Linked DNA regions of Drosophila melanogaster. The protein of the gene in region 3 interacts with the protein of the main gene of each other region in a pairwise test. Each region holds a gene or a part of one and is shown on either strand. Other genes may lie near its edges. The genes, in order: Z600, Pen and Nup50.

Evidence for each region.
Region 1: the proteins of Nup50 (region 3) and Z600 interact in a two-hybrid assay, tested with the Drosophila melanogaster proteins (one study listed by BioGRID).
Region 2: the proteins of Nup50 (region 3) and Pen interact in a two-hybrid assay, tested with the Drosophila melanogaster proteins (2 studies listed by BioGRID).

What each region holds. Positions count from the first base shown.
Region 1 is NT_037436.4:15,504,990-15,514,437, forward strand, and holds Z600 (Z600), read left to right. Parts: upstream 1-4,071; 5' UTR 4,072-4,134; coding exon 4,135-4,407; 3' UTR 4,408-4,524; downstream 4,525-9,448. Other genes in the region: CG7841 (uncharacterized protein), read right to left, coding at 900-1,159, 1,238-1,356, 2,484-2,577, 2,810-2,861; gdl-ORF39, read left to right, coding at 4,560-4,679; gdl (gonadal), read left to right, coding at 4,747-4,892, 4,948-5,242, 5,616-5,759; MsrA (methionine sulfoxide reductase A), read left to right, coding at 6,130-6,180, 7,183-7,376, 7,487-7,747, 7,807-8,041. UniProt on the Drosophila melanogaster protein: Cell cycle regulator that is involved in modulating and adjusting cell proliferation according to the requirements of the developmental program. Interacts with mitotic Cdk1-cyclin complexes to inhibit mitotic entry at the G2/M transition.
Region 2 is NT_033779.5:10,051,004-10,063,108, forward strand, and holds Pen (pendulin), read left to right. Parts: upstream 1-5,896; 5' UTR 5,897-6,201; intron 6,202-6,618; 5' UTR 6,619-6,693; coding exon 6,694-6,756; intron 6,757-6,817; coding exon 6,818-7,131; intron 7,132-7,195; coding exon 7,196-7,766; intron 7,767-7,843; coding exon 7,844-8,464; 3' UTR 8,465-9,092; downstream 9,093-12,105. Other genes in the region: Cpr31A (cuticular protein 31A), read left to right, coding at 3,353-3,364, 3,859-4,869; Spn31A (serpin 31A), read left to right, coding at 11,569-12,105. UniProt on the Drosophila melanogaster protein: Binds specifically and directly to substrates containing either a simple or bipartite NLS motif. Promotes docking of import substrates to the nuclear envelope. Seems to act as a cytosolic receptor for both simple and bipartite NLS motifs.
Region 3 is NT_033778.4:8,116,766-8,128,061, forward strand, and holds Nup50 (nucleoporin 50kD), read left to right. Parts: upstream 1-6,270; 5' UTR 6,271-6,372; coding exon 6,373-6,598; intron 6,599-6,654; coding exon 6,655-7,784; intron 7,785-7,844; coding exon 7,845-8,183; 3' UTR 8,184-8,293; downstream 8,294-11,296. Other genes in the region: Asap (ArfGAP with SH3 domain, ankyrin repeat and PH domain), read right to left, coding at 1-339, 400-519, 580-1,060, 1,123-1,558, 1,644-2,086, 2,149-2,489, 2,558-2,703, 2,783-2,855 and 1 more; coil (coilin), read right to left, coding at 8,305-8,444, 8,502-8,708, 8,768-10,104, 10,159-10,244, 10,300-10,434; Socs44A (suppressor of cytokine signaling at 44A), read left to right, coding at 10,940-11,296.

The DNA.
Region 1 (9,448 bases), on a different chromosome or scaffold from region 3:
ACCAAGTTTAAATTTGAAATTTCTGTAATATAGTGAATAATCTTTAAATAAACTAATTTATTTCTTGTTATATCATTTGGGATGGAAAATTTAAACAAAAATCTAATGTAAGTAAAGAGGGTAATCTCCATTCATTGTTACGCATCACACAAAGTAAATTCTCGCATTCCCTTTCCCCCCATTAATTAAACTTTTAAAATATTTCTGTTAAAAGCGAATATAATTTTGTTGATTTTAATTTTATTTATGCTAAACATAAATCGTTTTATAGTGAGAAACTAAATACAGGCAACGCCAGTGGTGAGAAATCGGCTCAACCAATTCCTTTTTTGGATATTTCTAAATCTTAACTAGAGTTGACGTAATAAAATCCAATTATTTTAGTATGTACAGGCAAATATTTAAACTGGAATCGGCATTTACAGAATTAAGTAAAACCAAAATCGGTTGCAATTAAATTGATGTTAGTTTGAACCTTATACTTTATACAATTCACATGAGTGTTGTTGACATTAAAAAAAAAATGGCAAGCCATCCAGATGACACGTTTCTTATAACTCTATAACACATTCTTAATTGTAAATCAGAAATCGTATTATTTACATTGGCCAACGGCGACGACTCTCAATTTACTTCATATACACACTTATATGCGAGATGAACCTATGCCAAGATTTGCCACCACGGTGGCCTCCCAACCACTAACATCCAAAGTGATATTTACTTAGTCGCTAGCCGAAAACTAAGCAAGTCTCTCGTCACATCTCGTTTCGCCCACTATCATCTAGTGTGATTTTGCCCATGTCCAGTCGAACGTACATGCACAGAAGGAAGCACTGACTATCTAGGAATTGACAAAGATCAGGCTCTGCCACTCATTCGATCCCATGCGATCGGTCCTACAGGCTTTTGGTTATGTTCTGGAAGAGGCGACGTCCCCACCACGACTCCAGGTCGAAGGGCTTGAAGTCCTGTAGCGCTGGACTCGGTGGCTCCACCCAGACAGTGGCTGTCGAGGCAGCGGGCACTGGGCTGTTGGCCATTATGCTTTCCACTGGACTGGCGGCGCTGTTGTTGTTGGCATCCGCTACAGGTTTCTCAACAGGCTTGGCGGATGAGCTCGAGTCGTAGGGATTCTGCGCCACCAGCATGTTCCAGGCTGCCAAAAAGTAACAAAAGTAAACCACATTTATTAAATACTTATAAGTACATCTTTACAATCATATTTCCGACTTACAGTCATTTATGTAACGTATTATTTCCTCATGTTGCGGCGTTATCACCTCATCCTCGATCAGTTTGGTTGGCGTTATCCGCTTGGTGGCGAAGCTCTGTTGAAACACCGGACGCGGTATGCTGTTTTTTTAAAAATCAGGAAATATGCATACAATTTTAATAACAATGTTCTTGAATTTCAATGAAAAGGCACTTATGCAAACCACACAGATTCCACCAAACATGTGGACTACGAAAATAAATCACTTGGAGAACGAGGTGGGGTAACTTGGGTTCGACAGCTTGCTACTCAGTTCGAGGAACGCTAAATGCATTTTAATTCGAGAAAGGCGCTGCAGTTCGTCGATTACATTATTTTGGCTTTTAAATGTTAAAATTACATATCGATGAAAAAATTACAAACTCAATATATACTCATAAGAGCAATGAGTACTGATAAGCTATCTACAGTGGCAGATAGTAAACAGTGCCATCCCATTGACTGACAAGGATTTGTGGTTTATTAATTTAGATAATAGTATTTCGGCAAAGGGTTAGGTAATTTTTATCTTGAAGTTCTAAAAATAAAAGCAATCGCAAGAAATTAAATACAATTGGGAGTTTATAAAGTTAATATTTATATAGAGAACTTTTCAGATTTCAGCTGAAATGGCTATGGGAAATTCTAGAAAACTCGCATCCATAAGATACTTTTAACAGCAAGCGTAATACAGTTGATATAAAAGGCATAAAAATAAACAAGAAATGAGATACACTCTTCAATTACCTATAAGTACTCTACTCTGAAGTTACATGTTTCGATTGCAGTTAGACATTCGGAATAACTCCACACCCTTCCAGGTAAAATAAGTAAATTAATCAGCCTTGTTTTGGCACAACCTGTGCCGAGCATTGCCGCGAAGTTACGTTGGAGCCGTGACGTAACGGACGTGGAAAAGTCAATGCCTCAATGGCCTCAATGGGCATTTAAATTAAAATGGAGCCGATAACCGACGCCTGACCCACGTGTTTCCAATGGGTCTCCCCTAGCGAGAATAAGACTACTTGCTCGGGAGCAATTAGCATTACTGTGCTAGGTCGCCACGGATTCTTGCGATAAAATGTCAGTGCGATAAGACGAGGGTCTTGAACCCCAGTCCGCGTTTTCCCCCGTCACTTTTCCCGCTTTCCACATTTCACCATGTGCCATCCGTTTGCATAAGCACCCAAGATTTGGGTATGGTTACATATGAGCATGGCATTCTTACTTTTTGTGCTCCTCGGGACTGTTCAGATCGAAACTAGCGTTCTTGCGGCCGCTCTCCTTGATGCTTTCGAATTTTTCAAAATTTGGTGCCAGGCCTGCGGATGGAAAACATGCCATGGAAAGCTATAAAATACGCATTTACTGTGGAAAACGCCGGCAAAACAAAAAGTTAACAGAGCCAGAGAGCAAGAGAGGCAGAGGCAGATATATAGAGAGAGAGAGAGAGAGAAAGGAAAAGAGTATGTTTTTGTGACATAACAGCTGTTCTCTTGAAAGGGTCTATTGTGGCATTATTAACCATTATTACTATCAATATTTTGGACTCACCGCGACGCGTTTTAGCAACAATTTTGCTAGGTCCCTTGTTGATTGTGTACATGGTGGTGGGGAGATGGGGAGTACCGGCTGAAAATATACCTTGTCCTTTCGATTTACGTATTGTTGTTTTCGTTTCTGGCAACGAAATGCCTAGCCGACTGCTATGATTTTGAGTATTTTTCCGCTCTAGGCAATCATATGATCATTGGCAGCCCAGCCTGCCCCACGCCGCCTCCTTTTGGCCTATTGTCATCGTCTCAAAAGGTTACACAATACACTTCACTTAGGGCAGTGATTCCGATTTAGCACTCTTTGATTTTGATGGCTGCCGCACCGCGCTCGTATCAATTGTTTTCGATTAAAATCACCGACAATTACTCCTGGAAACGCGTTTGTAATGTTCTGTGTTCGGCGGACGAGGCTCCAATGCAACTGCCCCATTCAAATCGCATAACGAAATGTTAAGAGAGACACCCGCAAAGAGCCGTATGTTAGGGCGTTCATGCGGCAGACAACTCGACTTTCAGCAGATCATAATTTCTTCATGGCAGTAACCCACGGCAGTGATTTTATTTGATAAGCGTTTATTTCTTTAGGCTTTCAACTATAATGGGCACTATCAATTGTTTAGTAAAGTCTTTATTTTATAATAGCAATCAGCTTTAGGTTTCGTAGTTCGCGAAGTCGATTAACGCATAAACTGTACAACCGATACACGTGTATGCCCACCATATGATTTCGCCAGTATGTACACACTTTAAAACGGCAGTGGGTTCTTTCACCTGCGCGCGTTTTTTTAAAAGCGTATTAATTGATTAGAGGCTACATTTAAAAGATTGGATTATTGAAAGCATTTAGAGATCCAATATAATTGAAAGCATTTGGAGATCCAATAAATTATATTTTTATATTATCTTTAAGGAATTATTATCTATAAAGTAAGAAATTAATATACTCCATTAAAAAGTTATGCACTTTAAACACCAAATTTGGAAATTGTTACGAATTCCTTTCTAATTTATTGCGATTTGTAAAAGGCGGACTTTATGGCGGTAGACTAAAACCCATTACTACCTGCTCGCGTAATTCTGAACGCATTAAAAAGGGATTAGCGAGAATTTTCTGCGGAAATTTTAATTATGAGCAGGTAGCACCATAAAAGTGACAGATGTGGAAAACGGATAAGCTGTATTTTCCGCGCAGATATTTATGGCAGTCCTGAAATTGCACACTCAAGTGGATATAAAGAAGGCCGTGGGCAAAAGGAAATCAGTAGCAAATCAGCAACGTCAAGCTTCACATTAACTTCCTGATCAGCCAGCCTAGCAGTTATTATGTCGTCGACAAATGAAACCAACCAAGTGCTGCAGCGCCTGAACAGCCTGAAAATCGTGGAAACCCCAAAGGAGCAGCATGAGTTCGGAAAACGCGAGTGCTACTCCCTGGACAGCAAGAAGTATTCCCTGGTACCAGCCACCCCCAGCAGCTCAGGACACGGAAAGTTCCAAACCGAACTCAAAAAGCGCCGCAAAAACAAACTGAATCGCATGTACACTTACGAGGCTGATAAGAATTTCATCAAGGCTCGCAAATCTTTGAACTTCTAATCATAATACGAACCGATGTAATCACCTTAGTCATAAGCATCATTGATTTCAAATCGTACAGTCACAATTCTTTTCACGCTCTGATACAACAAAAATATATATAAATACTTTTGAAACATTTTACTTTCCGCGTCTTTCTCTGACTTACCGTTATGTGGGCAGCCAAACTGATTGTGGTCACACTGCTGCTGCTGCAGTTTGCAGCCCTGGCGCTCAGCTGTTCGTGCGGCGAAGAGGCGAAATTGGAGTGCGGTTGCACAAAACATCACTAAAAACACAAATACTTGGGAATATTACACAAATTATTGTAAATAAATAGGAAATCACAATTTAGTTAAGATGGCGGACATACCGGCAACCAGCGAAGGTAGTGCGAACACTAGTGAGGCAGTAGTGGAGTATCAGCAGCCAACTCCGGAGTTTTTACAACGCAAAATCTATTTTTTGGTGGACCAATTGCGAACTTACCATTCGGAACTTCCCGAGTAAGTCCTTGATATTTAGTTTATTTAAATATTTAACGCCATTTTTGATTAACAGAAACTTGCAGACACGCATTTCCTACGATCTACTCACCGAACTCGCCAATTGTGTGCTAAACGATGGCATTTTTGTAATAGTAAAAGCATTAATGGAGCTGCAACACGAAACCGAAAGACACTTAATTAAAATACGGATGCAGGCGGAGAACGAGTATGAAATAGAAGTGGCCGAGTGGAGGAGCAAGATCAAGGATCCCGAGGAGTTGCGCCACATTTTGGGACTCATGAAAATAAAGCACACTAAGAAACTACACGAGTCGGATACGAAGATTATCGAAATACTAGATCAAAAGGTGAAGAATTCAATATCCTTTTGAGTCGTTCCATTCCACGCACTTTTAGTTGGTCTTACCATCCAAATTTCTTTAAAAACAATAGTCGAATCTCAAACTTAGATAATCCTAATCCTATTTAAAATTAAATTCAAATATGATACATAGTTTGATTATGGATGGATCTATAGATTAGGTATATTTTAGGTATATATTTATCTGCAGATTCTTATAATTGAAATGAAATTATCACTAAAGATATTTTCTTTTGTAATACAAATTATTTCTAATCATAACTTTAAATGCTTATATGGGAATACGAAATTAGATTTTACTACTTTAACTTTCTTTGTTTTTTCTTGATGTTGAACTAATATCTAATATCATTACGCAGGTTAATGACCAACAATCCACACTTCAAAAGGCCGGCGTTCCCGGCTTCTATGTCACCGAGAATCCCAAGGAGATAAAAATACAAATGTTCCTGTTGGACTTCATTTTGCGTTTGAGCCGGCTAAAATACGAGCCCGGCAAATAACAGTTAGTCCACAATCCGGAGAACACAAAAGACTGCACTTGACTTGTTCAAATTAGAATATTAAAGGCAATTAAATTATAACCCTGATCAAATGTCCCAGCTGTACGATCAATTGTGGCCCCAAGAAACCTGTAGCGCTGCGCAGTTTTAATCAGCGTAGAATCGGGAGAGGGAGAAAGAGACGGGGCCGGCCGCCAGAAGACTGAAGAGCGGGAGAATTGATAACGATAGCGCGGCACTCTCCACATTCGCGTAGAAAGCGGGAGAGGCGGCAGTATAAATTGGACCGACCTTTCTGCAGATGCATCAGTTCAGCTTTAAATGTTAAAAGCGACACATTAAATAAATAACAATTTTAACTAGTGAAATCATGTCTCTGACTATTACTTCCAGTGTCACTCATCCTGAGCTCAAGGATCTGGTAAGTAATTGGTCTAGTGATTGGTGCCTAATCCTGTGACTAGTGATTTCAAATGTCCTGCGGTTTAATTCGAGCTTAAATGTAAATTAAAAAATGCTATGATAGCTAATGAAATATATTTTAAATTTTTTTTTGCCGAATCGTGACTTTAATACACCTTTAAACAGTGTACAAATATAAATAAACAAATATATGCAATTAAATTATTTGATGTACAAGACATAAGTAATTTGTGAAGAGTCTTAAAGTTTCTTGAACCCCCAAGGCCGGGTGGCCAAAACTTTGATGTGCTTAGTCATAAAAGCCAGTTTCCGACATCTAATGTTCAGAATAATTAAAGCTCATGTGAGCACCTTTTTGTTGGCTAGAGGAATTCGGTTTGTTTTGGCCAGGTTCAGTTGCTTCCCAACAGTTGAGCAGTTTACACATAATAATGTTTTCGCGACTGTTTCGTAATTTCAAGGCGAGTTTTGCTCACCTAAAACCGCATATTTAAATGGTTTTAAAAGTGATTTAAGCTAGGATTAATTTAGTTGTTTGCTGTGCGAAGTGAAGCGCTGTTAGCCAACGACTTTTACTTTCTTTAAATCAGTTTTTCCATTGACCTTGATTTTGAAATTGATTTTGCAATAGTGTGTGCGAGAGAGATAGTATTTTCAATCAGCTGTTCGACAGCTGCAAGTGCAAGGCGAACAGAGCGAAAACCGAAAAGAGCGCGAGAGAGAGTTTAAAATGAGCGCACAAAGTGCATTATTATTTTGCTGACGACATCAGACGCGAACAAAGCCCCAAAGAAAATACTTAAAAAACTTAAAACCTGCCGAATATTGCATTTATTATATACATATAAAATTTTGTGCTTAAAATGCGCTGTTTGCCGGGCTATGGTTACGGCCTTACGTTTCTGTTTTTGGTGTGCGCTCAATACGAATAAATCTAATATTTCAAATTTTAGAAATCTGTTGCTCATACTCCCCTTTCTTCTTCTTCTTCTTCTTCCAGAGCACCGTTCGCAATGAACAAAAGGAACTGAACATTTCGCCGGTTCACGATGTGAATGTCACCAAAGCCACGGCCACTTTCGGCATGGGTTGCTTTTGGGGCGCAGAATCCCTGTATGGAGCCACCCGTGGAGTTTTGAGAACCACCGTGGGCTACGCCGGAGGCAGCTCGGATTTGCCAACGTACCGTAAAATGTAAGGGAGCAAGTTGAGAGCATTAATCATCCATATGTCTTCCTTTCACGTCCCTACATGTTGCATCCCATAATCCTTTCGGATCCGGTACTAACCACCAATCTCAACAGGGGCGATCATACGGAGGTGCTGGAAATCGACTATGATCCCACGGTCATTAGCTTTAAGGAGCTGCTGGATCTGTTCTGGAACAACCATGAGTATGGCCTGACCACGCCCATCAAGAGGCAGTACGCCTCCTTGATTCTGTACCACGATGAGGAGCAGAAGCAGGTGGCACACGCCTCCAAATTGGAGGAGCAAGAGCGCCGTGCACCGGAGATCATAACCACTGAGATTGCATCCAAGGAGAACTTTTACCCAGCCGAGGCGTAAGTTTTAACTAAGAAAATCTGAGTGCGTTGATATGAATTTCCTTGTTTGTTCATAGGTACCACCAGAAGTATAGGTTGCAGGGCCACAAGGATCTCGCCTCATCGCTAAATCTCAGCCCCAAACTGCTGCAGACCAGCTATGTGGCCACCAAACTGAATGGCTACCTGGCCGGAGTCGGCGGCATCGAGCAGTTTAAGGCGGAGGCGGAGACCATGGGTCTGACGCCCACCCAGCGGCAGTACTGCTACTACCACGTGGAGCAGAACGAGGGCCAGGGTCTCTACTGCTGACATGGCCGAATCTGCATAGACGTTAAGCGTAGATCGTACACCTAGGGGGGTAATTTTATGGATAGTTTGCTTGTTCAAAAACAGATTGTGTATTACGTAGACTTAGAAACGTATGAAATATATATGAAACGCATATATTTTATTATTATAATAAAAAAAAATATCTCAAACTAAAGTTAATGTTTTTGGTTTTTGATTTGGAATCTTATTTGTAGCACTGCCTTTCCAGGGTATTATTAGTATTGTTTCGCCACAAAGGCAACGAACTTAATTTTGGCTTGCATCTGAACGATAAAATATCTGCAGATACGTGCTAATAGCCAGCAGTAATAATCGACTTCATCCTCCTCATGCGCGAAAACAACATGATAACCAACTGAACAATCTGGCGTGATAAACAGCTTGCAAGTCATATTAAGTTCCTGTCCAGGATCCTGTCTTATCAGCCATAAACACCCGATAACAAATTCGCTGGCTCATCTGTTTGTTTAACTTTAATGAGTTTGCATTGCTGTCAAGATCTGAACGAAATTCTGCTGAAATTCGGTTTTTACTATACAGTATTATATTTTATATAATTAAATTATTTTCCACGAGAGTTTGTTTTTTTTTTATAAAATATTTATGAAAGCGTATCATCTTACGTAAGTTATACTTTGCCAAAATGGCATGCCAATAAATTTATCTAACCAAGGACAGTAAAGTGACTGACCTCAAGACGTTCGCCATTCTTAAAAATAGTATGTTCATATAATTAAGGTACACATATTTAGAAAATGTATAAGTATTTGAATGAATTGCTCTTGTCCATAAATTGCAAAACTATCAGTAGCTTTGTCTAATCATAAACGGTTTGGTAGTTTACACTTAATTTGAGGGTCTATAAATTGTTGGCGGTAGTGACTGGCACTAATCGATTGAAAGTAGAAAAATGCACTTAGTCATAGGTGAAGATTTGATTAGCGAAAATAAAGTGGATTATATATTTAGTTTAGTTATTTCATTAGATCACCAAAATGTGCATTGCATACTATATATTTTTGCGATATGTATTGTGTACTTTAATTGAATTCCTTGATGTGCAGCTGGGCTATATATTATTTAATATTAAGAAGTACATTACATTATAAGCATGTACATTAAATATAAACTTTTCCTGGGGGATATTCTAAACAATATATATAGCATTTAAACGTGCAGCACAAGATACAAAGATACTTATGAATGTATGTTTCCTAGCTGATTATCCATTTAAGAAACACACGTGCTGTGCATATTCTCCCTAAACATTCGTTGTATAATTAATAAACAATAGAAAGTTAAAAAATTGCTCCGTATAGTTTTAGTATGGGTTATCTATGTTGGGAATATTCCGGATACTTTAGTTATACGTAAACTATAAGATAC
Region 2 (12,105 bases), on a different chromosome or scaffold from region 3:
CGATCGACTTTAGATTTCCCCCTTGTTTTGTTATAGTTCAGTGCAAATAGATAGACAATGTTTGTATACCAAATCACTTTTTATAGATCACTTAAATAGATAAGCTATCAGCAAAAACTTAATTGCTTTAAAGTATCACATATGTATATACTTTCGTTTCGTCATTTTCGCGTCACTTTCGGTGGGAAATGATTAAGTAAAATGACCTTTAGTCTGAACTGACTAAAATCTATTTCATTTCATTATATTTAACTATTTTTTAAATCTGAAATTTTCCAATTTAATAAGAAATTTTTTGAAAATTTTTTGACATTTATACAGTCCGTACTGCAAGTACACCTCTAATATCTGATTTCCTTCCTCTGTAGCTGCCAAAAAGTGCGCCAACTTGGATCTTAAATACGGGTGGGACAACGTTTGCACCTGGACGAGCTTTCCGTGCGAATGGTTTGCTCAATGACCAAAGCTTCAGCCTCGAACAAAATGTTTACGTACTCGTATTTGTGTGATTCTTGTGTAAATTGTCTGTGAAAACGGCCATGGAGTGCCTGGGCTCAGACTGAGACTCAGTTCAGATACAGGATTCAGATTCAGATTCAGATTCAGATTCAGGTTCGGCTTTTGCATTTGCATTTGTCTGTTTTCAATTCCTTTCCATTTTCCCACTAGCTGTGATTTCGTTTTGCATACGTACATCTTCCGCTTCCGCCGCATCCTCCGCATCCTGACGCACCCCATCCAGCACTATCCCCTTCACATCGTATGCTATCCTATATCCTTTTTGCCGCACCCACACCCACACCCTTTTTTCCGGGCAGCACACACCGATGCTCATTTCGCCAGCGTCAACTAAAAATGCATTTCCTGTCAAGTGTAAAAAGGAAATGATGTGATGCTCTTCGGCTTTAACGTGCAATCAATCATTGCCGTGCCCGTTTCCACCCAAAAGGACTCTCCGTGTCCTTTCACACGCCACACACCCCTTCTACTTTCATATCCTTTTGCGGCTGCAAAGTCAACGAAGGCGGGTTTATTAAGTCGGGCAAATAGTGTTAAGTATTTGTCAAATGTCAAATGCCAAATGCCAAATGCCACATGCCAGACGCTCCCTTTTGCCGGGCTTAATGGATCCCCTCGCATCCTGGCCAGCCACACACTGGCTTTTAATTGCCACGCCGATAGGCAAGTGATTCTCCTGTCCCTGACCCAACTGGCCCACCACCTGGCATTGAGCTGCAGCTTCCGCCTCCTCAATTAGAGGGTCGTTGCCAGAAGTGTTGACTATTAACCCCCACCGACAGTCGACGTACCTGTCTAAATTAATTAAAAAGCCGAGTGCGGATAGTGTTCTCAGCGAGCTGCAAAAATGTAATTAATTTAGAAGCAATTAAATAAAATGCTATTATGTAAGTAATCAATAAATTTGGTATTTTATATTTATCTTTAGTTTCTGTGTGCCGCAAAGGGATTTATTTATTTATATAAAATCAAGATCAATCAAGCCTTATTTTTCGAGGTAAATGTATCATAGAAATATATAAAAAAAAAATCAACTGAAAAGAATCCACTGAACAACATCGATTTCCCGGTACTTTCTATTCAGCCGGTCTGCCATTTGTACGAGTATATATTCTATAATAGATACATATATGCAAACACATAAGGGGGCAAAAAGCGAAGTAAAGGATTCACTCAATGGAAATCCGATCTCCTTTGAAGCGTGTCCTTAGGCACTTTGCTGTGTGTTTTTTGGTGGCTAAGGCAGGTGGCATGTATCTCTCTATCCAGCGTAAGCCATTCACTTGACTTTTCAAGTTCAAGTATGTGATATATGCATACATATGTATATATTTATATATATATATTTAGATTCCCTACTGGGACGATAAGTGTGCCCTGGCTGTCCACGCATCTTGATGGCTTGGGGCTACGTGTTTGGACGCTGTAATCGAATGTTTATGTCCCACAGAATGCTCACGGACGCTTCACGCACTTTCAATTTTTGTGTGTGCCTTCGCCAAGGGGGAGGGGGGTGGGGGAGAGTCATTGAACGGGGATCTCTCGATGCCTCATTGTTCACAGCCATCCGGAGACAATTGTGACCATAATGGAGAGCGGCTGGTTCCTTGAAGCCGCTTAATTACAGCGCTCAAATGAGTTGACACATTTTTTCGTTGGGCTGCGCGGGAAGCGGCGAATTTCATAGAAAAGCCTTTTGGGGCAACCTTCGGTTCTGGGTTATTATTATCAATTAAGACCCATTTTCGGTGACCCAAAGCGTATTTTGTTCCTGGTTGGCAACCTTTGATGGTAACCAACTCATTCATGGTAAATAAATGAAAAAAAAAGTAAATAAAGGTAGATGCCTGTAATTAGTAATCCGATTTGGCAATTTCCAAGCCTCTGTTCCGAAGTGCAAAACTATGTGAAACTGTGCCAATGTCTGCAAGTGTGGACACCAAATAAACACCAAATGGAGCAATAATAAATTTTCTAAAAGACCAAAATAAACAAAAAAAAAAAAAACTGAAAATCATGCGCCCAATGAAGCAAACGCCACTGACACACAAAAGCCACCAAGTCGAAATATAAATATATATATTTATATACGTATGTATAGTGGCGGATATTGAGGTGTTGACAAGACACCTGTATTTTCGTGGGAGGTGGAGAAATAGTTGGCTTTAGGGACAACTTGACAGCAAATTTGGCGCTCCATTGGCGTGCGCATGTCGCCAAGAAAAAAAAAAAAAAAACACGGCCAAGTGCGTTGTGCTCCGACAGAGGGCGCTGCAAGGTGGCAAACGGACAATTGAAAAGTTAATTGAACGGCACTTAAAACGCAATTAATTACCAAATCGCTGACACGCTGAGTAGGCCTACAAGGAAGCGCTGAACTTGACAACGAAAATGGAGAGCGGAAAGCCAAAAAACGAAACTGAAACTGAAACCGAAACCGAAACTCAATCGGATAGCAGTATCGAAACCGTGGACAAAAAGACAAATTACCCGAAACCAGTTTTGGCCCAAGACAATTGTCAAATTGTCAACCAAGATGCCGAGACACTTTTGTACTTGTTACCGGTTTGCTCTTCGGATTTTTTTTTTTCTTTTTATTTTTTTTTTTTTGTCTTTTCTTGAGGGCGCCACTTCTTTTTTGGGGCGGCTAATTCTGACGCCCCATATAAAGTGGTGCGCGTCGGGAGTGGTCGACATCATTAAGTCGACGTCTCTGCCAGAGTCGGACGGATATATACAGTCGTCAGTCTGAAAGTCATCGCAACCTGTGCGGCACGTGCCACTTCATCCTCGAGCAAACCGAGTAGTCCAGTGCAAAGGAAGTGATTCCACAATGGCAGGCAAAGTGAGTTTAATAAAGTGGAACTCTAAGCAGCTCGATTTAAAAGGCATTTCAATGGCGTACAAAATGGCCAACTTTCAAGGCAATTGCTAAACTCGTGTGTTACTATATCCTTTCTCGAAAAAAAAAATATCCAGCCAACTTGTATTTTTCTATAAATCCGCAAAAATTCCATATCGATTAAATGTTTAAATTCGGTGTTGGCCAAAAAATAGGAAGCAAATTCAATTTCAGTGCAACTGAATTCATAACTTGTGATTTGCATAATCACGAAAATAAAACCAATCCAATTGGCATTGCTTCGATTTTAAATTAATATTGGATTTGAAAAATTGTATAATGCAATTGGATTTTTGTATTGCATTTGCACGTATGAAAACATAGTTTTTGGCTAAAATATAAAGTAGCGCACTTCTTTTAGCAAAATTAACTTAAATTATTAACAAAATGAAGTGAATGAAAAATGTTGAAATAATTTAAACCCTTTTTCCGTGCAGCTCCTGACTGTTTTCTCCCTTCTGGCCATCGCCGCATCCTGTCGCGCAGGATTCGCCGCCACCTATGCCGGCTATCATCCCGCCTATGCCACCTACCAGGCACCGGCTGCCGTCTACCATGCGGCACCAGTGGCCCAGGCTGCTGTCTACCAGCAGGCGGCTCCAGTTTACGCCAAGACCTTTGTGCCAGCTGCTCCTGTATACACCAGATCCTATGCCCTGCCCACTCCAGTTGTCAAGGCGGTGGCTCCTGCTCCTCTCGCTCTGCCCGTTGCTGCGCCGGTGGTGAAGACCCTGGCTGCTGCTCCCGTGGTCGCTGCTCCAGTGGTCAAGACTGTGGCTGCTGCTCCCGCTGTACTGAAACAGGTAGAGTTGGAATCTTCGCCGCGCTACGACTTCTCCTACGGCGTTCACGACAGCATCACCGGCGATATCAAAAGCCAGGTGGAGACCCGTGACGGTGGCAATGTTGTGGGATCCTATTCCGTCCTGGATGCCGATGGTTTCAAGCGCACAGTGACCTACACCGCCGACGACATCAACGGATTCAATGCGGTGGTCCAGCGGGAACCGGTTGTCGCTGCCCGCGCAGTTGCTGCTCCAGTGGTTTCCGTCTCCGCTCCAGCTCCAGTTCCCGTCCATATTTCCTCCGCTCCCGTTGCCTCGCTGCCCGCTCCCATCTACTATCCACACCAGCAGGTGTTCGCCCCACAGCAGATTCAACAGGTTGCCGAGCAGCAGGGTGAGGTGGTGGAGTCTCCTGTGGCCCAACAGCCCGAGCTGGAACCCACTCCCATTGACTACAACGAGGGTCAGCAGCAGCAGCAGGAGCAGCAGCAGCAAACCTATCCCCAGGATCAGCAGTTCCCACCCTACTCGCCAGCTGGTCAATCCTCCCCAGCTCCTGACAGCGATGATTCCGACGTGGTGGAGGCACGATCTGCCCCGGAGGCCAGCAGCACCACCACCACCGCTGCTCCAGTTACGGAGGAGAACAAGAAGACGGCCTAGATTGGATTATGAACGGAAATATTGTTGAAATTAATAAGGAAATGAATAAAATACTTCGAGAATACATAAAAAATTGTCTACTAATTCAAATTAAATGTAGTTTAGTTACATTTATAAGCTGATAATTCAAAAGCTTAAATGCGGCGATTTTAATAATTAATTTACCACATTAATTTAGCGGATTACTTCTCAAAGAATCGAAAAACAAACAATTGAAAAAGGGACTAAATCGATTGGCAGCAATCATCTCTAAAAAAAATTTTGTTTATTTCTGACAACCGCATATAAACAAAATGAAAAGAGCATTAACCGGAAATATCTGCGCATTTATTGCATTATTACTGATAATCGAGAGATTAAATGGTATTAGTGCAATGATAACATATTTGCAAGCAAAAAAAAAGAGACAATCAAATTTTATATTTAAAGGTAGACAGATAAAATCAGTACCTTTTATTATCCAATTAAATATTGATTTAGGTGGCTATTTTTTGTCTTATTAAATATGGATAGAGCTTTACATTTTAACACATATTCGTTGAATAAATTAACAACAAAGATTGAACATAAATATTTATGGAAATTGTAATTGAAGCTTTTAAACGTATAGCCTTAATATTAAACATTATTAATATTATATTATTTTAAGATGAAGGTTTTCCTTACAAAAGTAAAGACGAGAAAGTAAAACATAAACATTTGTCATAAACATTTAAATGAGCCCGCGTGGTGTGCAGATTCAGCCGACTTCTATTCAGCTGTTGGCTGAATTTGGCTTGCATGCGCACACGTTCCACGTTCCACAACAACATATTGAAATCCAAAAGCTGCTTCACCACTTGGCAAGCGATCGTTAACAAGTTACACCAGAAATTTATATATACTAAAAAAATAATAAGTTACTTAAAAATTTAGTAATAATTATGTGGATATAAAAAATGTACATTATTTTTCTCTACGCGCCGTTGTCCGAAGTTAACAGCAAGATAACATGCGATATTAGGCACCTACGTTCACACTGGCATCAAATTTCGATAACTGACAAAGATCGATAGCCATCTGCGTTTCGTTCGCCACTAAGGCTTGCTTTTCAAATCAAACGGTAAATTCTGGCGGCGCCAAGCAGGCATTGACTCCAATTTCGCATCGATTACGAGAGTACTGTCTACGTTTGTCTACAGTTTCACCGACACATTCAGCGTGCTAACACGCTCGACAAATTCTCGTGCTCGCGTTTCGTTAGGGAACGATAAAAATTGTGTAAAAATTCAGTAAAGTGAATTTCCATTCGAAAAAGCCAGCACACGCATTCAAAAGGGCAAAGGTACAAAGGTAAGTGCGTGTGTACTCTTTTCTTCCTTTTCGCGGTTTTTCCCACTGCTTTTTACTAGCGTTCATCAATTTGACCGCCTCTTCGTGATCTCCTCTTCTCGTTCCCCTCTTTCCGCGAATCGGCAAATGGCGGCTGCTGCAGCTGTTGCCAACCAAAGGCGTAGTTCTTAACTCGCGGGGGCTTGAGCGATTGGGTGCCCCGTTAAAAATAATCTTGTAAATTAGTTGGCTTATGTTGGCTAACACATAGGAATAACATATCGAGTTGCTGGCCACAAAGAAAACCCCTTTTTTGAACTCATGGTTACGCCCCTGTTGCACGCCGAAAGGAATATAAAAGACAGAGATAAAAAAAAAGAACCCAAGCAGCCCTTGATTCTGCTTCTTCCTGACATTGACTCACATTTTCCTTTTCAGTTTCACACATTTCATCGCAGCAGCAAACATCTAAACTTTTAAAGAAAAAACACAAAACTCAAAAAAAAAAAAAAAATGAGTAAGGCGGATTCTAACTCACGACAGGGCTCCTACAAGGCCAACAGCATTAACACGCAGGTAATGTACACAAGATCCTCCGCAGAACTGCGTTCGGAACTAACCTCACTTTTTGCCCTAGGACTCACGCATGCGCCGCCATGAGGTGACCATCGAGCTGCGCAAGTCCAAAAAGGAGGACCAGATGTTCAAGCGGCGCAACATCAACGACGAGGATCTAACGTCGCCGCTCAAAGAGCTCAATGGCCAGTCGCCGGTGCAGCTGTCCGTGGACGAGATAGTGGCGGCCATGAACAGCGAGGATCAGGAGCGCCAGTTTCTGGGCATGCAGTCTGCCCGCAAGATGCTCAGTCGGGAGCGCAATCCACCCATCGACCTGATGATCGGCCATGGTATTGTGCCCATTTGCATACGCTTCCTGCAGAATACCAACAAGTGAGTAGTGGCTTTAGAATGTTGATGAGAGCATTATTGAATATCCCCTGATTCGCCGCTACAGCTCAATGCTGCAGTTCGAGGCCGCTTGGGCGCTTACCAACATCGCCTCTGGCACATCCGACCAAACGCGCTGCGTTATCGAACACAATGCTGTGCCGCATTTCGTGGCTCTGCTCCAGTCCAAGTCCATGAACCTGGCCGAGCAGGCAGTCTGGGCTCTGGGCAACATTGCCGGCGACGGAGCCGCCGCCCGCGACATTGTCATCCACCACAACGTAATTGACGGAATCTTGCCACTGATCAACAATGAGACACCGCTCTCTTTTCTGCGCAACATCGTCTGGCTGATGTCCAACCTGTGCCGGAACAAGAATCCATCGCCGCCATTCGATCAGGTGAAGCGGCTGTTGCCCGTCCTGTCGCAGCTTCTGCTTAGTCAGGACATCCAAGTGCTGGCCGACGCCTGCTGGGCTTTGTCCTACGTCACGGACGACGATAACACCAAGATCCAGGCTGTGGTCGACTCGGACGCAGTGCCGCGCCTGGTCAAACTGCTGCAAATGGACGAGCCGAGCATTATTGTGCCCGCCCTGCGCAGCGTTGGCAACATTGTGACTGGCACAGATCAACAGGTAGGAAAACAAATGATTTTAATCCTTATTGTTATAACATGCCTGACCGACCTGTTTTTTTTTTTTTTTTTTATTAGACTGACGTTGTAATTGCATCTGGAGGTTTACCAAGGCTGGGACTCCTTCTACAGCACAACAAAAGCAACATTGTGAAGGAGGCTGCCTGGACGGTCAGCAACATCACAGCAGGTAACCAGAAGCAGATCCAGGCTGTGATTCAGGCCGGCATCTTCCAGCAGCTGCGCACCGTGCTGGAGAAGGGTGATTTCAAGGCTCAAAAAGAGGCTGCCTGGGCGGTGACAAACACCACGACATCTGGCACTCCCGAACAGATCGTCGATCTAATTGAGAAGTACAAAATATTGAAGCCTTTTATCGATTTGCTGGACACAAAGGATCCGCGTACCATCAAGGTGGTGCAGACGGGCCTATCCAATCTGTTTGCCCTGGCGGAGAAACTTGGTGGCACCGAGAACCTATGCTTGATGGTCGAGGAGATGGGCGGTCTAGACAAGCTGGAAACTCTGCAGCAGCACGAGAACGAGGAGGTCTACAAGAAGGCCTACGCCATCATTGACACATACTTCAGCAACGGCGACGACGAGGCCGAGCAAGAGCTCGCACCTCAGGAGGTCAACGGAGCCCTCGAGTTCAATGCCACCCAGCCCAAGGCTCCCGAAGGTGGCTACACGTTCTAATCGCCCACCCCACACATTCCAAACTCCGCTCACACGCCTTACAAACAACTACACCTTCGACCGCGCTCACACACTATGCCATTGTCAAACATACGCATACTCATCATCACATCTTACAAACATTCCCAAACACTTTGGAGGTATGCATGGAAACACAGGCGAATGCATTAGCTTAAAGTCATAATTGAATCGGGTTGGCAAAATCCACTCGCATGAATCCCCATTTAACATACCCGTATTCCTCGCGTTAGACTAGACTTCACAGATTGCAGCATGGATCTTTCTGGCAGTGTTCCTCGTTCACGATGCAACCGCTCGGGCAGCTGCGCTGGCTGGGATCCGTGGATCATAGTATTTCCAGAATCCGTCTGTACAGGGGGCACCTTATGTTTGCGTGTACTAGGCTTTTTATTGGATACGTTTCGAGCTCATTTCGGATATATTTTAGGCTGTTTAGTATTTATTTATGTATACAGGAAACGCTTTTAATCCTCCACCTTCGCGCAAGCATTACAACAACAACAACAACAACAACAACTCATTCCCTTCACACCAGTGTCCTCATTCCCGAATCGCATGTTTATATTCAAAGTTGTCAATAAATAATGAATTGTTTGAATGATTAATTAAATTTCATGTGTATTTAAGCTGCATTTGAGCATTGCGAAAATTGGAGCCTATTTTTGGGCCTTGGCATTTTTTTTTGTATATTATTTGGAATGCTATTGGGATATACACCGATGCAGGCAATCGAATTTAAAATGTTATCCCTTCGATGCGCTGGCGCCTTTTGTCCGTAAATCCGCGATAAAAAGTCATGCAGTCAATACATGTTTTTTTTTTTGTCTTGTACATTTAAATCGCATTTGGGCCGTAAGCGGATAGCCGGAAGATTAAGAGCTATCTACCGCAGCCACGCCCACTCGAGCAGCGGTGGACAGCGACCCCAAAAAAGTTCCAGATTAGATATAATGATTAAACAACCGACGAGTGAGTAGTGAGTAGTAGTCTACTACTGGCACAGAACGCGCACCACGCACAACTCAATCAAGATGAATCGCAGCGTTCGTGGTTATTGCAGTGATCCAGAGGGTAAGCTTAATCAGTGGAGCGACGACGTCACATCAACAACCATGTCCACGTACGATCTTGTTCCCATCGGATGCAGTGCGTCGAATTCGGCGAATCGTGTGTGTGTGTGGCAAAACAAATTATAAAAATAGATTAAAAATTCAGCATGGGCAAAGTAGTTGCCGAAAATTCGAACTGAATTGTGGAAGCATTGGCCGCCATCCGGAGCTTTTGCCTCCGCGTTGCCCAAATTGTCGTCACCGATGGATCGGATCTATGTATTCAATTGGTTCTTTCTCGAGCTATTTTATTATTTCCGAGCGCAAGCGTTTAGTCGACTTTCTGCCGAAGCTGCGTGCGGGCGTGAATCTCTAAGGGCAACTAATTTATATAATTGCAAAACGATCTGAACTGACATTACGCATTTGAAACTTAAAAATTTCTAACGATTTTTAAAAAAGGTAATAGAGAATAGTGCAAGTGATGTGAAACCAATCGGTAGTTTCGTAAATTGCCTTGTGTGTAAATCAATTCGCATTTTCACTGAATGTGTGTCGAAATTTTCACAACTATTGTTGTTGATGATGCCACTTCGAAAACAATTTTCTGATCTCATATGCCTCACTGAGAATCCAGTTGGGGATACACCATATGCCACTTGGTGCATTTAAACGTTTACAAAATACAAGAAAAAAAGTGTGAAAAAAATCGAAAGCACTTTTGACAAACTCATGATGCAGTTAATTTCGTTGAATAAAACAAAAAATTGGCACACCAAAAATAAACAATAAACATCTAGCACTAGAACAGCGCTACTTTATAGCGACTACTACATAGCGTACACAGCAAGAAATTTGTACTCATTATAAAATGTTTAATTTTAATCATTGGGAAAACATTTAATTTTGCTGTGAATTGATAGAATAGTATATTACCTATACTAAATCTATTCAAAATGCATTTTAAAGTTGTTCATGTGATAAAATTGTGAAAACTGAAAGAGTATGAGTGACATGATTTTCTGATAGATTTTTCTTGCAGTGTGGGCAGCGTGGCTCTCGCGATTTTGAAGCGGAAAACGGTCTTTTTTTCCGTTTCGGTCCGTTTTTATTTTCCGATTGGGGTGGGTGGGCGCGTATTTTGTTTGTTGATGTGGCAATTAAGCGCGCAAGTGTGCGCGTCGCGTAGAAATCGGCGTGCAGAGCTGCAGCTTCGAATCGACAAACTATATAGTACATATATAGCGAGTGGGCATTGAAGTGGGCGTGGGCGTGGGCGTGGTAGGCGGTGGGATTGGGTTTGTTTGCCATAGAACGGCGGCGGCTGCCGAAATTCGCGTGAAATTAAAAGTTGCCGCAAATATATAGCCACAGCACTGTCACAAAGTTTTCCGCCTCGGCGTTTCCGCTTTGTTTACTTGCCGAAAATAGTGTCAAGTTTGGCCTAGTGTGTTCAGTTGACTTTATTTGTTCAAGGCGCTTCTTTTGTATTCGCCAAATGAAATGGTAGACAATTTACATTTTCATTACAGTGTGCACTTCAAGAGCCAAGGTGAATTTAAATGGGATTCAATGTAGTATCTACTTGCGGCTGGGCCGCATTATATTTTCATTTTATTTAAAGCATCTCATGGCCCTAATAAATTTGGCCAAGTTTACTTACAAATGTATATCTACATATGTATGTATATACATGGCACATGTGTTTTGCATTATGCCGTAGGGCGCATTTATGCTAAACAATTACTTTTGATAGAATCAACCATGTGGAAGCGATAAATTCACGCCTTTATAATATTAATAAGACTTCATCTGCATACGAAAACACTGCCCAAGGCTTCTCAAGAGATTCAGATTTCATTAGATTCCTGGAAAAAGTGGGCAAGATAATACCCCTTCCAAAGTTGAAAGCTAAGTAATTTATCATGCAATATATCTGTGTATGTTTTTTGTAGCTTTACGAAGATTACGATTTCATTTTGCATACAAAGATTTCAAAACTTGAATTTTCTTGGATTTTTTTGAAGCAACACAATGAGTGAAGCTGCCAATCCAACGCCCTATGATTGCCACATAGGTGCTGGTATTTACCACAGCATAGCAACGAGTTTTGCAGAACAAAATGTAGTTGTATCACCACTACTACTGGAAGCCACTCTGTCCCTGCTCTTCCTGGGATCGGATGGAGCCACCGCCGAGGAGCTGCAGAAACAACTGCGACTGAAGCAACGTTTTGCCAGCAATGCCAAAATGGCCAATTTCTATGCCGCGGAACTGGGCAATATCACAACAGATGCAGATACCTTCCTGCAGCTGCAGAATCGTTTGATGCTGTCATCTGAATCTGGAGTGGCCGATGATTTCCAGAAGATTGCACAAACCTATTTCCATGCCACTGCCGAGTGTGTTGATCTGGAGCAAACGGAGAAACTGCGTCGCCACATCAGCGAACAGATCCTGGCCAGCGTTGGAGGCGGCAGCTGGAAGGATATTCACGTGGCAGGTGGTTCGTCAGCCAATACCCTGCTCCTGCTGCTGGCCGCCAATCTGCAGAGCAAGTGGTTCCTGCCC
Region 3 (11,296 bases):
TGTCACATGCCCGCCCAGATCGCTTTGCATATTCAAGCTGTTTCGCGCCGCGCGAACGCTCTGGCTGGAGGCGGAACTGGGACTTGAACCACCATTCCCGGGTCCATTGCCTCCAACATTGGTAGCACTGCCCAGATACTGTCCCACGCTTATGTGCTGTTTGGGCGAAGTCCCTGCAGAATGCGTATAGCTCGGCAGACCGGAGGGTAGAGTGAATTGCCGACTCGGACAATTGGCGATTGGACTAGAACTGGACTGTATGGAGTCGCAAGTAGAGGAACGAGAGCGCAGAACAGGTGAGTCCCCGCCAGCAAAACTGGGGGGACGCGAACGGGATTTCTGCAAGTAAACCGAAAAGGGATCAGCATAGAACTTAGCTAGTCGGAATGTGCCACCTACGCGCTCATCGATGACTGTTTCATCGTCGCTGAAATCCGTGGAACCGTCCTCGTTTGGCAGATTCCAGTCAGTGTTGATGTGGTCGAAGGCGCTCTTCTCCCGCTTAATGGCACATTCAATCTGCAGGATAACGAATGCTGATTAATATTGATTCGAGTGAATCCATGTTATGACACTTACAAGCTCCCTGCAGCTATTGTGTCCCATTTCTTTGGCAATATCCAGAGCTGTTTTGTTCTGTGAGTTCTTGAGCTCATAGTCGGCTCCAGAGCGGAGCAGCAGCTTCATGCACTCCCTCCGATCGTGCAGAGCGCACAAATGCAACGCCGTATTCTTTCCCGTCACATCCAACAGACCGGCCGGATTGGTAGCTTTGTTAAGACCTTTAGGCGGCATATTTTGGATGAGAAAGTCGACTATGTGCAGCGTAGATCCCATCTCGCGCAGCACGGCCAGATGGAGGGCCGTCTCTCCGGCATCAGAGCTGGGCAGACAGCAAGTGAGATCCGCTCCTTCCGCCCACACCTGGAGCAACTGACTCATGTCGGCGTTGACCACAGCCTGCTCTAAGTCGCACCGTAAGTCGTTGTCATCCGAGCACGTGCGCATGACATAGCGCTTGGCAACATACTTGGCGCGGATAAAATCGTAACGCTCTTCCCTGCAAAAACATATTACAACTAAGCACTTGGAGATAATCGCTACCATGCCAATAACACATACATGCTGCTCTCGTGCTGAAGCTTGCCCCTTCCCAGCTTCGCCTCCATAATGTCGTTCAGCGTGCTGTTGCCCATGGCACGAGCAATAAGCAGATTAGCCGTCGTCAGGTTGTCTAGCGTAAGACTCTGGATGCGCGAGTGGTGGACGCCCAGATCGCGATGAACCCCAGAGCACTGAATGCACACTAGAATGCCAAAGTTTAAACTGATCCAGGTCACATCGTTACGCGATCCACAGTCACAGCATCGATCGTTGCCCGGCAGTAGCTGTACATATCGGATCACAGTCTTTTGCAGCTCCACCAGACTTGGACTCATCTGCGGATTGGCGTGCTGGAAGGCCTTGGTAAGTGCCTTCTCCTTGCAGTTCACCAGGACGGCCATCCATGCCTTCTGATCGCCTTCATCCTCCGCCTGAAAGTGATACGGACGATTGTCTGCAAAAGGAAAAAGCACAATGATCATATTAGTATAAGTGATGAAAGAACCATCTCTTTACAACTCCTATAGTGCTTCACTTACAGCTGATAAGATCAAACCCGCGCTTGTCATCCGGCACCGGTTTGATCTGGCAGGTGAGCAGATTTACGCGTGTTGGCGGCTTCGACTCGTCGGCATGGAAGATGTCAAGAAAACCATCGCTGGTGACCCGGCATCGTCGTTTCTGCCAAACGCGACGCACCTTGCCCTCGCTCTTCTTGAGAAGGTGGCCTTGCCGGGTGACGCCGTGGTGTTTGTCACCTTGCAACTGGTGGAGGGAGTAACCAGCTCCCCCACTTCGGCTCTCCGACGATGGCACATTGTCAACTCGCTCAAAATCTGGAGTGCTGCGCAGAACTGTTCGCAGATCCAGCAAACTGCGACGATCCTCGTCTTGCTTCTGCTTGATCTCATGCAGCTTCTCGCTGAGGTCGCCGATGTATGTGCCGAAGTGCTCGATCGTCTGTAGGCCGTCCTTAAAGTAGCTGCAGAGGCGATAGATGTTACTTCTAATCTGTGGACAGCATAACTATGTTGAGGTACTCACTTGCTTAACGCGTGATAATACTCAATAAGGTGCTGCAACAGCTCGATTCCCGTCTTGGTCTTAATGTCTTTGTACTTCAGCAAATACTCGCAGGTCTGCAGTTGGTAGAGTCGACGCTCCTTCTCCATTTCTTCGGCCACCACAGCGGCGTCGATCTCTGTGCGCACCATACCCGCCTCTTTGGCCTGGGCTTTCTTCTCCTTCTCAATCTTGATGAACTTTGCCTCGTAGTCCTTGGCCGCCTTGTCGAATGGCCGCTTCATGTCCCCCTTCACGCCCCGCAGCTCGCTCTTCAGCATTGAGTCCACCGGAAACATCACAATGTTGTTGATGTTTTGCATCTGTTTTTGTGGGTAAACAAATTATCTTTTAGATGACCCTGTAATGGTTGCGAAATCGTCATGCCTACCAGGGTCTTCATCAGCGCGCTAAGCTCCTTGGTGACAACGCTGAACTTAAGGAACGCGGCGCCGATGTCCGGCTCATCCTGCTCAATAACCTTGCCGCCCAGTCGCTCCAGAGCTCGCACCATAAACATCTCATTGTCCACATGGGCTAAAAGATAAAAGCGAAAGCAAAGATTATTTGGAAGGAAGTAACATAAATGGTATCATATCTCAGAGGATGTACTCACTGTTTCCTGAGTTGTGGATAGCCTTGACCGCTTTTTTCAGCTTAGTTAGACCCTCCCGGTCGAACTCCAATCTCTGAAAGAGATAGTTATTGCAGTGATCAATTGGGCATGGTGTCAAAGGGAATACATAAAAGTTGTTTAAGGGTTGTTTAAGGAAGTTCTATAAGACAAGAGATAGCGACAAGGTTTTGCATAATTGAGAGGCTTTGATAGAGGGAATTCTTCAAATTTCTAAGTCCGAACAATTGTATTTAGCGTTTCAATAAACGACCTGCACCTTCTGTGCTTTAGATGAGCAACCACAATGCATTCCCAAACTTAGCCAAAGATGGGAAGACACAATAGAGGAAACGCCGTGGACGGGCGCCGAATGAACAATATTTTCAGATTGAAATCGCGTCAACATTGGCATTAGGTATTCAGTTCGCCTGTCGGTCGGTTGACCAACCCCACCCCTTCGATACTCCCATCATATTTTATGGCACCAGCTAATTGAAAATGTACGACAAGGTCACTTCTATTATTAAACTTAATAACCGAACCAGCACCATTTTAAATGCAGTCGCATGCACCAATTAAGACAGCAAGTGAAAAAGATTCGAGGCAATTTCCCTACCGAAACACACCCCCCATTTTCCAGCATAAATGTTTTATGCGGCAAAGTTTTTTATAATCCGAAACCGGAACCGCATAAACAATGATTTCAGTACATTTCCGAAGTCGAGAAGGAAAGAGTTCGTTCCCCCATTGACCCGATGACTCTCCCCAATTGCCTCCAATTCAAAATGCTGTGTTCAGAATTGAATTAGCCGCCAAGGAGGGGCGCAGGGATCCTGACACAACTGCGAATCATATGGGAATCGGCAAAGATCGCTTACATTCCTGCTGAAACTGATATATGAGCTACCAGACAACAACTGCCCAATAAATACTGCAGATGGAAAAAAAAGTAACAAGCGAATCGGCCAAGACCGAACTCCGGGAAACCTGACTATTTGCGATTGCAATTCTATACTACGCGATAGTCGCTGAGTGGCAAACATCTGGGGACAAATGAACCCCTAGCAATCCGCCATCGGCTGTAGAAGATTAGTCATGTTGTTGAGCAAATTACTGGGAATGCAAACAACACGCCTAGACCGAAAACAAAAACCAGCTAACGATATTCGTCAACTTGTTTTGCTCTTTGGACGAGTTGCGCGGCCAGTTAGCTGTTTTGATAACAAAAGATGCTAATTTATAATAAGTCAAAGCCCCAGAAGATGGCTAAAACAGCAGCACTTTGTTGTGGAGCGGCCAAATGAATGGCACAGAGAGAAACTCTTGGACGCACAAAATTAAATTTCATTTTAGACAGTCAGTTTTACAGCTGCTCCAAATATAATAAACACGCAATGGGAGAGACTGGCTAAAAAAAAAAGAGAAATAAAATTCATTTAACTGGCGGGGAATGGAGGTCACTGGGCTGCTTGGGCTACACCAAAAATCCATCAGCAAAATTAAATATTAAATGTTTGACGTGGCGTCCAAGAAGGCGGCCCAGAGTTCCGGGAAAAACTGGGCATGACGTGACCGACCAATAAATCGTCTAATTTTGTTTCGCCGGGCGGGCGCTGCATTAGCCTGGGGAATTGGAGCAATATGTGTATATTGCACAACCGGCCCACTCAAGGGTCTTTTGGATGACAACATGGATGACTTTTCCACTTAGGCGTTCTGTGTTTTCTGTGGACGATATCCCCAGCTGACTGAGTGTTCCCGTACGGGAATAGCCGCGGTTCTCGGATTCGCTGCTCTTATCACACGCCTTTTTCCGGCCGTAAAATACTCTTTGTGTGCTTAGCTTTATCAGCGGGCGATTTATATCCGTGCACTTACATACATATGAAAGTGGAGGCGACATCACAGCTGCCTTGAGTAAATATAGAAATTACAGCATGCTTATGTGGCAGCCACTCCCACTTCGGTGCCCAGCCCCCAGTTCCCTGCGCCCCTAGCTCCATCTGCTCTTGCACGTTCCGGAATGCACTTTGTATTTCCATTGTACTATTTTTGTGGAATCGTGGAATCGAGGAAAAACCACCTTGCGGGCAGACAGAGAGAGAGCGCGAGCCGGGAGAGAGAGACCGCACTAAAATAACAGGCGGTGGCTCATTTTGGCGCCGCGCCAATTTACAAATCTGTCCGCTGCAGCCCCCCGGAAAATAGTAATCATCACCGTTTGGCAGGGGGCGTCGCCTGCCATGTTAGCTGCAGTATCGCGTGGTCACATAGCCGTGCTCCTGTTTTCACTTTCACCGACATCGATCAGATTCCATTAAATTAGGAACTTTGTTTTGCAAAACCGATTATTATTACAGATTATCCGCAGATGGATCGGAATTTTAATCATTGAAATAAACAAGTAATGACGATAACACATTCCTCACTCTCCGTAGCCTACGAAGATATTAGTTTTTGAACAGTAAACCCAATTTTTCAGCGGTTCAAATGCCTTTAAATTCAGTGACCCCTAGACTGTTTATATGTTTAGCTCAAATATAAAACTATATAGACTGGGATTCCCAGAACACACCTGTAAACCCACCAGGATAGCCCACCTTAAACTAGGGATTGCTTGGGCTGTAGGTACACAGATTGTTGGCTTTTTGGACTACCTGCCTCTACATAAGGAACATGGCTTAGGAATTGCCTGGTCAACACACTTACCTCTTCCAAGACGCCAATCGTGTGGCGGCAGTCGGGCATCCTCGAGGCGAAGGTGGAGGTGGTGGGCGAGCTGTAATCGGAGCGCGTCTCCTCCACAAACTCGGACACGGCAATCAGGGATGGCGGCATTTTGCTGCTCAGGATATCCCGATGTCCTGGTATATACAGCGTATCTTTTACTCACACGCACACTCACTCACACACACACACACGCGAGTCGCACGCACACCAGCTCACGCCCAAGGCCGTGGAACGGGAGCAAAATGGGAGTGGGAGCGGGACGGCAAATAGCTGAGAAACTACCAGGATAACGCCTTTAAGCACTGTACGTGTCTCTGCGTCTTTGTTCACTCCCGATTTGTGTTGTTGCTCGTCGCACTTTCCCTGGCACTATATCCATATATCCACACACTGGCGTTCTCATCATCCTCATGCAATTTGGCTTTTTGCTTTTCGCTTTTCGGTTTTCTGCGTTTTTGGTACTGCTCGTACTACTCGAGATGCACAATTAACTTTGTCTCTGGGCGAGGGAAGTGCGCAGTACCCGGAATCGCGGCAATCATGGTAGGATCAGAAACACACTCGGACTGGTACTGCTACTGTGACTGGGACTCGCGGCACTGGACATGGTCGTCCTAACTTTAGGCGTGATTTAATACTTTTGTTTTATTGCGATTTTGTGCTGCTGGCGTCTCGCTGTTGTTACCCTATCGATATGCTATCGAAAGCAGCAGGCCTGTTTCGCTGACTCACAGTTACGTCGCCCAACTGAGGTAGCGATAACATTTATCGACCGCCAGCAACGCGGTGTGGATTTTATTCGGTTTTTTTTTTCTTTTTCACTGGCATTTGCTTTGAGTTTTAATACAGAGTAGAACAAGATGGCTGGCAAGCGACAAGCCACTTCGAACCTGAACCACGAAAACTGGGACCTGGAGGAGGAACCCGAGGAGCGCGGCACATTCCGCACGGCCACCGAAGAGGAGCTAAAGACACGCGTTATCAAGAAGGCGCGCCGCAAGATTGCCGGTGGATCGTCCGCCGCTGAAGAGGATGGCGCCGAAGAAAAGACTGCAGAGCCCAAAAGTGTGTTCAGTGGCTTTTCCGGTAAGCTATCAAATCCATGCAGACCTGAGGGACTTGCTCACTCCGATTGCTTTTAGGTTTCGGCAAGCCGGCTGCGAGCCCAGCCGCGGGTTCGCCTTTCTCCTTCCTGGCCAATGTGACGGCACCAGCCACGACCTCTAGCAGCGAGCCAAAAAAGTCTGCATTCTCGTTCGGGTTCAGCTCCAGTTCCAGTTCGGCCGATCGGCCTGTCAGCACTAGCATTTGCGGCACCGCCAGCACCAGCAGCACGGCCCCCTCTCCTTTGCCGGCCAAGGAATCAACAAGTACCGTCGATGGCGCCAAGCCGACCACCTCGATATTTGGCAACATATCAGCTGCCAAGAAGGAGAGTAGCGAGGCCAAAACCAGCAGCAGCAGCACTAGCCTCACATCCACCATGGAGACCTCCGAGTACCGTGAAAGCGTTGCTGACCTAAATCGGTCCGTCATAAAATTCCTGCAGGACCAAATGGGCAAAAGTCCCTACTGCATACTGACTCCAGTGTTTAAGAACTATGATGAGCATCTAAAGGATCTGCAAGACGAGGAGAGCGCCAGAACGAACTCCACGAAATCCAAAACGGCACAAGCTCGTTCTCAAGAACCAGTTGCAAAGGTGTCCCGTGCATCGTCGCCACCAAAAGCGGCTACTACGTTTACGTTTGGCAAGCCCAGCGCGCCAATAGGCGCCAGCGTATCGCCCTTAGCCAAGAAACCCAACTGCACCATAACCAGTGGTGGAACAACCACCACGACCGCAACACCACTGGTCTCCTTCGGCAGTACGGCATCGTTCACTGCGCCAGTGCCGTCCTCCTCCAGTATCTTCAGTTTGACAGCAAAACCCACTGGAGAAGCCAAATCCGATGATACCCCTAAGTCCAGCATTTTTAGCTTTGGAGCAAAGGATACGACCACTAAAAAGGATGAGCCTAACTTCTCGGCACCGAAGACCAATGGCTTTTCCTTCGGACTGAAAAGTAACAACGACGACAAGCCAAGCACCTCGTTGTTTGCGGGTTTCGGAAAAGCGCCTGGAGGAGCAGGAGACGGCGCAAAGGGCTTTTCCTTCACCAACAGTGCCACGCCCTTCTCTCTCGGAAACATTCATCCGCCAGCTGCAGCGGCAGCGCCTGCGGAGGAGGAAAAAGAAGAGGATACGCCCCCAAAAGTCGAGTTTAAACAGGTGATGATAAAAGAATTTTCTTTTCGAAGGGAAAGATAATATAACTTCTACTCCAAACAGGTTGTGGAGGATGACGCTATATACTCCAAGCGGTGTAAGGTGTTCATTAAGAAAGACAAGGACTTTGGCGATCGTGGCGTGGGCACGTTGTACTTGAAACCTGTCAAGGACTCCGAAAAGATCCAACTGTTAGTCCGCGCCGACACCAATCTGGGCAACATCTTGGTCAACCTTATTCTTAGCAAGGGTATACCTTGCCAGCGCATGGGCAAGAACAATGTGCTGATGGTCTGCGTGCCCACGCCAGAGGACTCCAAGGCCACATCGCTGTTGCTACGCGTAAAGACCGGTGACGAAGCCGACGACTTGCTGGAGAAGATCAAGGAGCACATCAAGTAGAGGATAGACAACTAACATGAATTCGTACATATAGATGTTGTTTAATCGTTTGTATTTTAAAAGCTATAAATGTACGAAACCCTGGAAATAGAACTCAAGAATGTACACACAAAAATGATAATCAGTCAATTGTGGCTACAATGATTTTGGCTTCAAGCATATCTTTGAGATGAATACTTAAAGTTCGCACATCCTCAGAAGACTCGTCCAACCCACTCATATAATATTGACGCAACATGCGACCGATTTCGGGGGGATAAGCTAAAAATTTTAACGAGATCAGTTTCGGGTATACAATTTAAATTGATAGTCGCTTACTTATTGTTTCCACTGTGACAATTTTGGTGCGCCGGTTAACGTAAGTGCACCTCCCGGCGACAAATTCGGTTGTGCCAGAATTGGCGTTTCCCTTAATCTTCAGCAGTTTAAATATAACCGTATCGCCCCTGGACGGCAGGCTATTGAGTGGAGTTGCAGTCCGCAGTAGGTCCCTTATAATATCCAAAGATTGCCTATTTTCTACTACTAAGATGTCAAGGGCACTCATAAGCATACATCTACCATTTAAATGCCTCGTATCTCACCTGGAATCGGTTCAATATCAGAGTCGCCGTATGAAACGTCGATATTGGAGTCGTCTACCAACATCACATCGTCGTCGGAATCGGATACTAGTTGTTCCTCAAAAATGGGCACTGTTACCGTTTTAACATCCTTCGAATCAACGTTATTTTTAATCGGAGATGCACTTCCGTCATCTGGCAAAATTTTTTCGACTTTGGGTGTTTTTTCCATAGATGTGTTGTTCTGTAGAAATGACTCAGTAAGTTCAAGTGGATTAGTTGCTTCAGCTTCGGACGGAAGAGTGGTCTCAGCTTCAGTCGAATTGTCCAGATAAGCGGATTCAACTGCTCCTATGGCCCCCGGAAGAGTGGTTGATGTTTCAATGATGTCTTCGCAAAGAGGTGCAACTGCTCTCTTTATACCTTCTGAAACATTTTTTTTATCCTTTACATCTGGTAATTCTTCGTCGTGCAAAATTTCGTAGGATTTAGGCTTTAAGGTTGAATCCTTCCCATTGCTTGGGAATTGTTTAGCCGTATCATCACTCTTAGCTCCTTTCTGCAGCAAAAAACGAGGACTGATGGGCTTAAGTTTTTTATATTCCAGAATTTCAATTTGTTGTTTTTTAGTGGGAAATTGAAATATGCGCGGAACATTAAAGGGCATCTCCAAGAGAGGGGAGCGGAACGAAATCGATAGGAGGCTAGCAGCAATGCCAGGACTCTTCTCAATTTGGTCCCCTGCTTTCAGTTGAGATAGTTTATCCGGAATTTTGTTGGACTCCAAGTGTGTTTTGTCCTGTTGCTCCTCTCGAGTTTCGTTTTCCTTCGTTACCACACCAGATTTTTCTGATAGAATGTCAGGCGATGTCTCTTGATTCTTGCTTTCTGACATTTTACCCTCCTTGAGCGTGCATCGAGAAATACTCTTAGGAGCAGGTTCATTCTCTACCTGGTCAGATGCCTCGGGCGATTTGGTCGGTTTCTTGTTTTTGGATTTATTTTTAATCTGAGGAGCAGATTCCTTGTTCTCTGTCTCGATGTTCGCTGACATGTTAGAAACTTCTGTCTGAGTTTCAGGGGCCTTTGGAGTGCCTTTGTTTGTCAAGAGCTTTGATTGTACAGAAGGTCCAGGAGCCATATCTAGCAACTCCTTCTTTCTCACACGAGATGGGTTTTCTGCAATATTTATCCATTCTGAGTTGTTCTGGTTCTTGGAGCGCTTTGAAGGTCGGAGGGGAGTGGAGGCGGTTAGGTGAACCTGTTCCTCGACGGATCGATTCTTGCGCTTTTTACTGGATTTTACAGGAGCAGGGCTCACAAAGGTATCACTATCGTGGCTGGCAAACCGAAAGGCTCTGCAAGGGATGAATATGCTCAAGTAGATCGTAAAAAGAAATAAGCTCACCTACTTGAGTCCTTCGGCAGAGTTCAACACTTTGATAGACTCCCTCGGGGGCAGATAGCATCCATCTGAGGTGAGCAGACTAATGTCCTTCTGTTTGAATGCAATTTATTTAGAATTAGCAGTTAGAGATTCTTAAAAATCTTGCCAAGCTGAAGAGGTTTTGTATGTGGTCCTGGAGGTCCTTGATGTTGTTCCATGCTGCATCGATGAAAACCAACGAATTTCGTCGTTCGTCCTTGAAAAAGTTTGATAGATCCACCTTCATGCTGGAGTGTTGCATTTTTGACTTAGTTTTCTTATGATTAAAATGATTTTAAATGTGCTAGAGATGGAAGTATGTTCGATTTCGTTATCGTTAAATCGATGTGTTTAAATTTCTGTCAAATTAATGTCATATTTTTTGTAGCGATTTATAAAAATAAAGCTTATTTGAATGACAAACTACATTAATATTAAAAAATTGCAATATGGAAAACAATATATTTAAGTCAACGAGATTTTACTTGAAATAATTTAAGTTAGTTTTAAAAATGCCTAAAGCAGAGGGCTGTAATAATGGATAAATTAAAGCTTTGCCTTGCAGAGAATTTAATTTTTTAAACTCCCCTATGTTATCGATAGCATTTACCAGCTACGCACGACCGATAGCGATAAGACAGTTCTTGTGTACAACGAAAACAAATAGTTCTTATCAATAAAGTTAGGCATTGATCACGGCTCCGAATTAGATCAATGATGTAATTCCACCACGAGGAAGCTCCGATCCGATCCGATTCCACTCCAAAATGAGCCACGGCGACCAGAGTCAAAACCAGAGCAGCCAGCGGAGCCAGGCGCTCACTGGCGGTGGTGACTCCCCGAGGGACAGGGAGAAGGAAAAGAAGGGCTGGTTCCACTCGCTGACCAGGCGCAAGAAGTCCGACTCGGCGCTGGCCGTGACTGCATCCGCCGCCGTCTCCACCAGTGGATCGCAGAACAACAACAACGAAGTGTGCGTCCTTGAGGCAGCGGACTCTTCCATGGCCAGCTGCAGCAATGGGGGCACGGGCACAGGAACTCTGCGCAGAAGGCGGGACAAGGACAAGCGAAACGTGTTTGCCAGACTACGAAGGAAGGTGGGCCAAGGGCTCAGCTCCCTGCGA